Linked DNA regions of Tribolium castaneum. The protein of the gene in region 1 purifies or fractionates together with the protein of each later gene. This does not show direct contact. Links are inferred from orthologs where the notes say so. Each region holds a gene or a part of one and is shown on either strand. Other genes may lie near its edges.

Region 1 (6,014 bases):
TTACGGTGATGACAACCTAATACTAGGAACACGCTGCATTCTCAATCAAGACGATCAAACTTACGAATGTTACATCCAAGAGATCATTAAAAACGAGAACAAATGTGTGGTTTATGTGACAAAACTCGCCGAAAAGCGCACCGTAAACTACACGGATTTGTCTCCTGAAAACGACGCAAAACCGTGGCCACTGCCCTACAGGTACACAAACAAATTTAAATAACAATACTACGACCGTTGTGAATTTAGATTTACCAAAAACCAAGTGGCGACTCCGTCCCAAGCCGTCACACTCGAAACCAAGCTAAAATTACCGAAAAAACGTAAAGATAAACGCCGAGTGAAAAGTAACAGCGAGTCTCAAACGCAAGCGGTTTCATCGCAACAGCTTGCCCAAGATATTGAGGCTTTCATTGGCCAGCCTTTGGTAAATAAAGTCACAGAACGGGATAAAACGTAACTGTGTTTTTTAAGCAAATGCAAAATAATTCCGGACAGAATTACAACCAAGCGCAAAGTCCCCCAGAAATATCCAGCTCGCAGTCGCAACATAATTTGCTAGTAACCCCTGATATTCCATCGCCGATGCCCAAATTTTCCTGGGAGACTCCTTGGAGCACCGCTGCTGCGGCCTCGTGCGAGAAATTCGTTTGGTCGCAACCAGCGACTTCCCCGGGGATGAAGCCGATGGTGGCCTCAGCTCCCACCACTCCAAACGTGATTCCTTACCACGGTAGAGTTACAATAGTGTTGCCATTTTCACATTTGTCAGTACAGATTCGCAATATCCCTTCGTCTACAATTACCCTGTGGACAGTTCGTTCAACTCGTGGAACAGCAGCTCTGTCTACAGTCCTCCGAGTCAATTTCCGCTGGAACCGGACGAGGACAACGAAAATGTGGACAATTTCCAGGAGTACGCTGGGAATTTTGAGGCGCAGCCGGCGAAAGAGATACCGCCACTGATTCTCCCGCCTCCCAATCCGCCAGTTGAGATCTACTCGGCTGTGATCCCCATTCCTCCGGGAACTCCCGTGATTTACACACACACTCCCGAAGGACCGGAAATGATGGTTTACACGCCGCCAGTTGATGTGCAATACGTTTCGCCAACACCGTACTTCTACTCGCCGACGATACCAACCACTTGGTATCCGCTAGGAATCAATTCCCAGGGATTTATTTTCCCAACTCCAGTCAACCAGAATTTGCAAAACAATTAAGAGCGTTTCATTATGAATGTTAATGCTTTGAAGAAATTTATTTTTGTTATTTTTGTCAGAGTTCAATTAAGTTTATCATGTTTTTCCTTATTAATGCATTTAATTATTGAGTTTCGTTTTCGTTGAAAGGTTCTGAGAAATAAAACGTTATTTTCGATACTTGTTATTTATTAATAACTGTTAAATAATACATGTGAAAGTGCAAATACAAAACGTTAAAGTATTGTTAACGAATTAAAAAAAAACTATTTATGATTCGTCATCGCTTCCTGCTGCTTGTCTCGGTTTGGGTCCTCCGGCCCTCTTCGCCATGATTATCTGGTCCACTCGGAGAATGGTAGCAGCAGCCCCCACGGCATACTTCAGCCCCCAGTATTTGCAAGAGTATAAGTCCAAAATGTTCTTTTCCAAGGCGTCGCAAATCGTGCTTTCGGCGTCAATATCAACGCCGACATTTTTCTGTTCGTTCTGCAGTAGCATATTAAAAGTGTTACAAACACCCTCACTATTACACTAGCCACATAAAATGAAATTATCGATTCAATTGGTGATTTTACGGTTAAATAAATGCGTGATTAACTGATCACAAATTTGATTGGTCCATTCGCGTTGTTAACTTTTAACAACGAATTAAATTTTTACAAAGCTTTTTGTAAACCGGCGCTTAATTTAATAATTTAGTGTACGTATCGAGTTGCAAATTTCAAAATAAAACAAACTACCAAAAATAATGCAATAGCTAGCTCACCTGATGAGCTTGGAGAATTTTTTCTAAAACTACAGTAGACCGATGCCCGCTGTTGTCGGCAAGAGTCTTCGGAAAACTTTCCAAAGCTGTTGCAAACTTCCTGACAGCGTATTGTTCCAAACCGGGAAGAGTATCAGCATATTGAGTCAACTGATGCGCTAATTCGGCTTCAACGGCGCCTGCCCCAGGCAGGAAACGCCCATCACGTGATAAACCCTTGAAAGTGTTAACACCATCGTCAATCGCTCGTTCGATATCGTCCATATAATTATCAGTAGCCCCACGAACGACAACGGTGGAAATTCGGGACTCTTTCCCTTCAAGCCTGAAAACCACAATGGGGGTATCCCCGAGTTCCTCAACACAGACCACATCGCAGTAGCCCAGTTCTTGAGGGGTGGGGGCGGTCAGACGAGGCAAAACAGTCGCTCCAACCTTTAAAAAAATTACTAGAAATTGAAATTTATTTGGGTCTTAAGTACCGTTTTGCTGAGCCTTCTCACATCGAATTTCGAGTTAAGCCGCACTGCCATCAGTCCGTACTTGTGGATGTAGTGCAGGGCCATGTCCCCAAACTTGGCCCCGGCCACTATCACCTTAGCCCCAGTGTCGGCAATTGACTTGATCTGTATTTCCAAGAGATTCTCCTCTCCCCTACTAAAATTCATCAACTCATCTGCGGTTTTGATCAAAACGGTTCCCTTGGTCTCAGTTTGCATGATATCGACTGCACAGCTGAAAACAGCAACTTTGGCGTTCTGCACTTTAGTGATTTCGCCCTCGACGTGTCTCTTAAACACCATTCCTTGGACAACTTGCGAGCTTTGCAAACCCGAACCTAGCACCTTGCAAACACGCACATTGTCAACGTTGAATGTGGTGTCCTCGGGCAGGATTGAAACACACGCTTTGGCCACTAAATTAGCCAAAAAGTCCTCGTGTCCGTACTGTTTTGACTGAATCGAGGTTCTAATCCCTTTAACGACCTCATTCAAGTTTCTGTAATCCTTGATTTCGTAACAGACTAGTTTCGGGAGGATTTCGAGACACTTTTCCAGGGCTTTCTCATAGCCCTCGGCCACTTCGGTCGGCGTGACCCCCAGTCTGATCAGCTCTTCCGAGGCCTCCAGAAGGGCCCCAGCCAGGATAATGACAAAGTTTGTGCCATCACCAACCTCGGAATCTTGCATTTGACTCGCGAGAATCATTAATTTGGCCGCGGGATGTTCAATATCCAGTTCTCTAATAATAGTGGCGGCATCACTGGTCACAAACTGCTTCTCAAGGTGGTTTATCACCATCTTGTTCATGCCATTGGGGCCGTAAGCCGAACGCACGGACTGGGCAAATTCCTTGCAAGCGTTAATATTTCGAATGACGGCTTCTTCGAGGCCGGAGTAGTGCTAGAAAATGCGAAATTTGAGAGATTTACGCCGATTTGCCGGCCCTTGTGCCGACCACATGTCACTTCGGGGATCGATTTTGGAAATTAGGACTTACCCGGGCGCCTTCTTTCAACATCTGGGCGAAGCCCGGGGCTTTAGGGACGTGAAGAGCCATTTTTGAGACCGATTTATTTTTTTATAAGCGAAATATTAATAATCGAAAAAGTTTGCACAACAATGGACATGTGAACTTTTGGTGACTAATTTGGTGGGTTCAGCGCCACCAACATGGGCAAGAAATAGAACCAAATGGCACGGCTGCTCATGCATGCGCATTGGTTTACGCTCGCTTTTTAAAATTCGGGATCGGGAAAAAAAACTGTATTTTAACTCCCGGCAATCCATTACAATCCCGGCAGCGTCATCAGCAATTCTCGAGGGTCTAAGCATGCAACTCGCATACGTTCGTTGCATAACGTCAGTCGTCGAGCTTTAAACTTGTGTTTTTGCACTCGTATTATTTATTTATTTTTTAATCCTCTTTAAGTGAAATGTCGAAAAATTAAGGCATTTAATTCACAGAATGGTAATTCTTTGTTCGTGAGTTGGGCCCAATCTTACCTTCGCATTTTAAATTTTCCGAAATTGGATTGGCTATAAATCGGCGCGAAGCACCATCCACTCATATTCAAATAATTCTCCAAATTTGATAATTCTATTGGCCAATTTGGTGGGACTGCTTTTCTATTGGCCAAGTGAAGCTTGCTCGTTATTGGCTGCCCGTCATTAATTGTCAGTGTGACGTTCAGGAACTGCAACGGAAATTTTGACCGTAGAATTTTTGTCGTTTTATTTTTTAATCGGTTGTGGAGACTATTCACTAATAGTTTTAATAGTTTTGGTGCCTAGTTTAAATATAATAGGTGAGTAGATAATCAATGCCCGAATCAGATGAATTAACCTAAAAAAGGCCCTTGAAATATCAAATCAATTTTTTGTTCTTCACCTATCAGTGACCCTGTTGCACGTTTCTAACTTCCAGAAAAATGGGAGACGAGAACAGGATCCGTTCGTTTAAAAACAAGGGAAAAGACTGTGAAGTGAGTATCAATCATGTGCAATTTTGCGATTTTGAGACTTCTCGTGTAGGAAATGCGCCGCCGACGGGCCGGCCAGACCATCGAACTGCGGAAAGCAAAAAAGGAAGACCAGTTGTTGAAGAGGCGCAACATATCGTTGCAAGAAGAGGCCTCAACTCCCCTTCAGGAGAACAACTCCGTGTCGCTGATCACCATGTCTGCCGAAGAAATCTTGATGGGTAATAACCCCACTCCCGACTTGCCCCATTTTAATGACCTGATAACAGGAATGATGAGCCCTGACGAGAACCTCCAGTTTAAGGCCACCCAAGCCTGCCGCAAAATGCTCAGCCGCGAGCGGAACCCCCCAATCGACCACATGATCCGCTTGGGGGTTGTCCCGCGATGCGTCGAGTTCCTGGGCAAGACCCACAAGTAAGCGAGAGCCTAGCCTTGCATCTTATTAATTTTTTTAAACAGCCCATCGCTGGTGTTTGAGGCTTGCTGGGCCCTCACGAACATCGCGTCTGGCACTTCCGAGCAGACCGCAGCCGTGGTCCAGGAGGGCGCCCTTCCTAAGCTCCAACAGCTGCTCTCCTCAAACCGCATCGACGTCGTGGAGCAGGCCATCTGGGCGATTGGTAACATTGCAGGTGATGGGCCCGAGAGCCGCGATTTGGTGCTCAACTACGGCGTTTTGCCCAGTCTTATCAACTTAATCAAACCAAACACTACCTTGTCCTTGTTACGCAATACTGTGTGGGTTATTTCTAATCTTTGCCGCAATAAAAATCCGTACCCCGATTTTGAGTTAGTCAAGCCGGCTTTACCCGTCTTGGCGAGACTTTTGTCGCATGACGATAAGGATGTTTTGGCCGACACGTGCTGGGCTTTGAGTTATTTAACCGATGGTAGCAATGAGAAAATTCAAGCGGTGCTTGACACCGGTTTAATTGACCGCCTAGTTATGCTTTTGTATAGTGAGGAAAGTACCGTCCTAACTCCGGCCTTGAGGGCCGTTGGTAACATTGTGACCGGAAACGACCATCAGGTATAAGGCCACTCAATCAATTGTTAAAAGTATTAATAATTTCGTTTGGTAGACTGATATGGTGATCAATGCCGGGGCTTTAGATTGTATGATCCGTTTATTGCAACACAGTAGACTGAACATTGTCAAAGAAGCTGCCTGGACAGTTTCAAACATTACTGCCGGAAATAGTGAGCAAATCCAAAAAGTCCTAGATGCCGGGATTTTGCCTTATCTTCTTCACGTCCTACAAACCGTATTGTTGCCACGCTTTGTCCGATTTTTCCTAAAACGTGACTTTTAGGGCGACTTTAAATCGCAAAAAGAGGCAGCTTGGGCTGTTACTAATTTCACAAGTGGCGGGAATTCCGCCCAATTGGCGCAACTTGTGGAAATGGGGGCGTTGAAACCCATGTGTAATCTCCTGAATTCCAAAGATAGCAAGACTATTATCGTGGTGTTGGAGGGATTGAATAACATTTTATCGGTGAAAAAAAATTTGTGTTGGAATTTTGTCTAATTGTCGATTTTAGGCCGCTGCCAAGTTAA
Region 2 (4,478 bases), on another chromosome or scaffold:
AATTTCGTTTGGTTTTTCTGCGGGTGCCTCACGTTTTGTTGCACGCTGGGCTGCTCAATGTGTCCGGTGGTTTATTTTAATAAGAGGACAATCAAGTCGTTACATAGAACATTAAAATCGGAAAATAACCGCTTGTATAATAAGCTGGGAATGCACTGGTCGTTGCACAAACAACACCTTGCGCCCTTTAATATAGTAGAATACGTGATAGTGATCAACTTCTTACCGAAACCAGAAATATATGTACCCGATTAAGATAATAAATAAACTCAACTCACCAGAATTTTTTTATACAAGCTATCGATGTTTATGTCATCAAAGGGCAAAGCCCCGACTAGGAGAGCATAGAGCAGGACCCCCATGGCCCAGACGTCCACTTCGGGCCCCAGATATTTCTTCCCCAAGACTAGCTCGGGGGCCGCGTAGGTTGGAGAGCCGCAAGACGTGTACAGGGGGCTCCCCATGCCCCCCTCAGGCCGGGCACATAAGCCAAAATCAATCAGCTTCAAGTTCTGGTCTTTATCGAGAAGGACGTTCTCCTGCAATTATTTTGTTACTTATATGTATTGAAAAGTTGTGAAAACACCTACTGGTTTAAGGTCCCTGTGTGCATACCCCAGACTGTGCAAATAAGCCACCCCTGACACAATTTGCCGGAAAAAAGTGCGGCTTTCCGATTCACTCAAGCGGTTTTTTTCGACAATGTGGTCAAACAGTTCGCCACCTGAGCAGTACTCAATAACTATGAAAAAGTGCGTTTCCGACTCAATCACCTAAAAAGCACAATTAGCAAGGCCTTTACGTTCTTTATGGTTGTTACTTGGTAGAGTTTGCAAATGTGTTGGTGTGAGAACGACTTTAAAGCCTTCAGTTCCAGTTTGACCCTTGGCAAGTCATCGCCAAGTCCCGTCTTGTTCATTATTTTAACTGCGACCTTTTCTCCGGTTGCTACATGAGTTGCGAGCTTAACTTTAGCAAATCCTCCACAGCCTATCGTCTTCTCAATCTCATACAAGCCTTTCAGTTCAGCGTAACGCACCATTTTGACTACTTGACAAACACTTGTTCTCCGACTACTTTATCACACAAAAACGGACAGTTGCACGATTTTTTGCTCAAATTACACACATATTTTTGTTAGAAATTTGCAAACATTAACGAATTTTCCGCATTTGAATTCGAATTGTTTTGACATCTGTCACTGGGCGGAGGACGCCGGTAGTCTGCGGTGGAAGTTGTGCTGGTTCGAATCACCAGTGGATCGAAAAGAAGTTTTAAGCCGAAAAGTTGGCCAAATCTTGTGTTTGATTTTTGGCTTTGGAGATTCTCTAATGTAAGGCACAATATCGCCTGTTTTTCTATTAAAAAATTATTTTTTGGGGTGCAAGTGTGGGAGTTTGAAACACTGGTAGATCAAAAAACTAATTTATTCAATACAGCAACAGCAATAAATAATAAAATTGTTACAAAATTCGTTAAGTAGATAAAGATGATTATTGCCGCATTACCAATCATTGGTACTAGCCAAATCTGCGAACATTTTATCTTTGATTTTCGGCTTTGGGTCTTCTTTAATACTGGTCTCAATAGCGCCTGTTTTTCCAATTAAAAATTCAAACTCTGGAAAAATAATAATTCAAATAATGTTTCACAACTAAATATTAATTTTCGTACCGTCTTGGGTCATATTTGGGCCCCTAAGTTCGACTGGACCCACAATTTGCGATTTTAATTCCCCTTCAAAGTACACAAAGAGAGTTGGTAAGTTTTTGTCGGGATAATTTGGTATACAAGTCGTTGAAATTGATTTCAGGAACTTAACAGCTGGGTATTTAGCTGCAAGTTGCTTCATATATTCATTAATTAGGGCACACAGCGGTATTCTGTAAAATAATTGTGTATTATTATAAAAACCACAACTTTTAGTCTTACCCTTGTTTGTATAAATGTAAAACAACCCAAATGCCTGTGCCAGCTTTATTAACTTCCTGCACATAATCTTGGGCTGAAATTTCACCTACTGAGCCAAATTTGGCTTTTTCAGCCAATGCTCTCATTTCAGCTATCCTCTTATTCCTGTATTCAAGAAGAACAGCTTCATCTTCAGAATCTTCCAACTCGTCTAGCTCATCAAGGTCTAGCTTTGAAAAATCTTTACCAGCTAAAAATGGACAAAAGTGAACAAAGTTTATTTTTGAATTTTAATGTGCAATCACTTGAGGTTTTTTGTTCAATTGTCTCTTCCAACATAGACACAATTTGATCCTCTGTTATCTCTGTTTCCTTCTTAGGAGGAATAATTCCCTTGCTTCTGAGAACATCGTTCCATTCAGTGTCCTCATTGGGGTCCTAAAATTATTAAGACCAGGAAAATAACACAAAAAAACCTCACATTAATGTACAAACCTGCATTTTGTTAAACTGTATGAGTCAAAAATATTAAAATTTTGAATTATTTACTGTTGAAGCTCTACATGTGACTACTTTACAAAAAAGGAAATTTGTGTAGTAGGCATGACACATCCGATGTTTTGCCGTCACGTAACATATTGTCATCTCGCTTTACCCCGAATGTTGGACGAAGATCGCAACAGTGACTCTCCCAGTTTGTTTTCGGAGTGGGGATAGTAGACAGCGCCAAATTTAAAACTTGTTCTCATTTTTATTTTTATTTAACATTAATTAGTGAAACCCAGCAACTGAATACTTCTTCAACAGTTTCTCCAAAACGGCTGGTAAAAGCGCCAAGAACTTGAACCGCTCGCCCATTTGGTTGCTTTCAGTCATCATTTTGTACCCAAATTCTAAACCCTCTATTTGGTCCGGTTTTGCATTTGCTTTAAGTGCCTTGAACCGATGCTCTATCCCCATTTTGAGCAAAAAGTCTCGCTGAGTAGTTGGCCCAAAAGTGATCACCCCTCCAGCTTCAGTGGCGCTTTTTGAAAGTGCGTCAAAATCTACATCAGCTGTGAGGTCTGCAGTGCCTGGTTCTACCAAAGGGTCGTGCAATTTGTGCTTTTTGAAGGCTCTGAATGTGTCAGTGCCGCTGCCATTGTGGCCGTAATCAGCAATCAGGGCTAAACCACCGTCTATTTCTAATCTCTCTGCAATTTGTTTGGCTAAAACTAGACTTTCAGGCGATATTTCAAAATGTTCGCGAGTCTCATTTGGTCTAATATAAAGTTTTGAAGCTGGAGTTTCCTCTCTGGCTATAACATACCTGGAAAGATATTTATACTATTACTTGTAGCAGTTTGAGTCAGCATAAAATACCTAAACGAACATTCTTTAGAAAGGTCTATATCTATTAAAATTTCCCTATAACCGTCTTTAGTCTTTTGGAACTTATGTACAGGCAAAGCGTCAAAAAATTCATGAGCTACCAATAACGTGAAACAATTCGGAACATCATCTAGTTGCCTGTACCACTTTACGGGAATCCCCTGATGACTTATCCCTTGCCTATGTATCACAGACTTTTTATCAATAATATTGTCCGACTGGATACACAGTTTCCTTGCTTGCAAATCACTCAAAAGAGGACTGACTTCAACCAAGTGCAAAGTGGCACTCTGTAGTGCGCCGAAATGGTCAAACACTCGCAACAAATCCTGACTTAAAGTGCCACGGCCTGGCCCTAATTCAACAATTTGAATTGGTTTAGGGGACCCCACTTTAGACCACTCATTCAAAAACCAAATGGCAACCATTTCTCCAAACATTTGATTGAGTTCTGGGGATGTAATAAAGTCCCCTGATTCACCAAACACGTCTTTGTGCATGTAATAGCCACCTAAAGGGTTTATTAACACTTCCTTCATGTATTCAGCGACTGTGATAGGGCCGGTGGCTTTGATTTTTGAGTAAATTTGCTTAGCCACTTGATGAGGGTCTTTGACGGACTCGTTACTCTTGACGGTGTAATACGACCGAAGGGTTTTTACAATACGGGTGCAACGTCGTATTTGAAACATTGTTCCTATTAATTATTTTTGAAATTTTGGAATAACCTCACTCTTGTCAGAGTGACAGTAGGTCTAGCGCTCCACCTTGTTAGATAATTGATTTTGTTTAAATAAAGAAGAAGATGTGAATATTTAAATTCTGTGACACGTATGATAACAGAAATTGTGCCCAACTAAAATAAAAAACTACCCAGTTAATCAAATTTTAAGTGAAATTTAGAGAAAATTAGGTCTAATGTCCAGTAGATAAATCCTTTGACAAGTCTAAATCGTATCATAACCACAGTTTTTCAGCGTGCCCCAGTTGTCACGTGTAATGTAATTTCTGGCGTTGTTTTTGTTTACAGGCGCCGGTTTTGGATAAAATAAAGGTAAGTCACTTCCCTAGGTTGTGTAAGTGTTCCCACATTTAAAGTTTTTGTTTCTAAAGATGAGCACCTCACTGAGCGAGCAACTCAAGCGCCTGGCTTTGCCCCAAACCTCGCTGTTACAAAGGGACAAGAAACGCCCATC

Evidence for each region. The genes of interacting proteins can lie anywhere in the genome.
Region 2: the proteins of CCT8 (region 1) and viaf purify together in Homo sapiens (affinity purification with mass spectrometry; 3 studies listed by BioGRID and IntAct, with this or other methods). This does not show direct contact. The link is inferred for Tribolium castaneum from reciprocal best matches to the Homo sapiens genes CCT8 and PDCL3.

The regions. Positions count from the first base shown.
Region 1 is NC_087397.1:4,704,017-4,710,030, forward strand, and holds CCT8 (T-complex protein 1 subunit theta), read right to left. Parts: upstream 3,643-6,014; 5' UTR 3,532-3,642; coding exon 3,472-3,531; intron 3,375-3,471; coding exon 2,454-3,374; intron 2,407-2,453; coding exon 1,972-2,406; intron 1,692-1,971; coding exon 1,473-1,691; 3' UTR 1,371-1,472; downstream 1-1,370. Other genes in the region: putative bifunctional UDP-N-acetylglucosamine transferase and deubiquitinase ALG13, read left to right, coding at 1-201, 250-427, 475-733, 778-1,223; Pen (importin subunit alpha-5), read left to right, coding at 4,403-4,456, 4,506-4,870, 4,916-5,486, 5,539-5,721, 5,770-5,952, 5,999-6,014. UniProt on the Homo sapiens protein: Component of the chaperonin-containing T-complex (TRiC), a molecular chaperone complex that assists the folding of actin, tubulin and other proteins upon ATP hydrolysis.
Region 2 is NC_087394.1:28,839,802-28,844,279, forward strand, and holds viaf (viral IAP-associated factor homolog), read right to left. Parts: upstream 2,557-4,478; 5' UTR 2,413-2,556; coding exon 2,407-2,412; intron 2,350-2,406; coding exon 2,217-2,349; intron 2,162-2,216; coding exon 1,933-2,161; intron 1,884-1,932; coding exon 1,675-1,883; intron 1,621-1,674; coding exon 1,505-1,620; 3' UTR 1,412-1,504; downstream 1-1,411. Other genes in the region: maternal embryonic leucine zipper kinase, read right to left, coding at 279-539, 591-773, 821-1,042; protein arginine methyltransferase NDUFAF7 homolog, mitochondrial, read right to left, coding at 2,683-3,220, 3,274-3,974; l(2)k09022 (HEAT repeat-containing protein 1 homolog), read left to right, coding at 4,396-4,478. UniProt on the Homo sapiens protein: Acts as a chaperone for the angiogenic VEGF receptor KDR/VEGFR2, increasing its abundance by inhibiting its ubiquitination and degradation.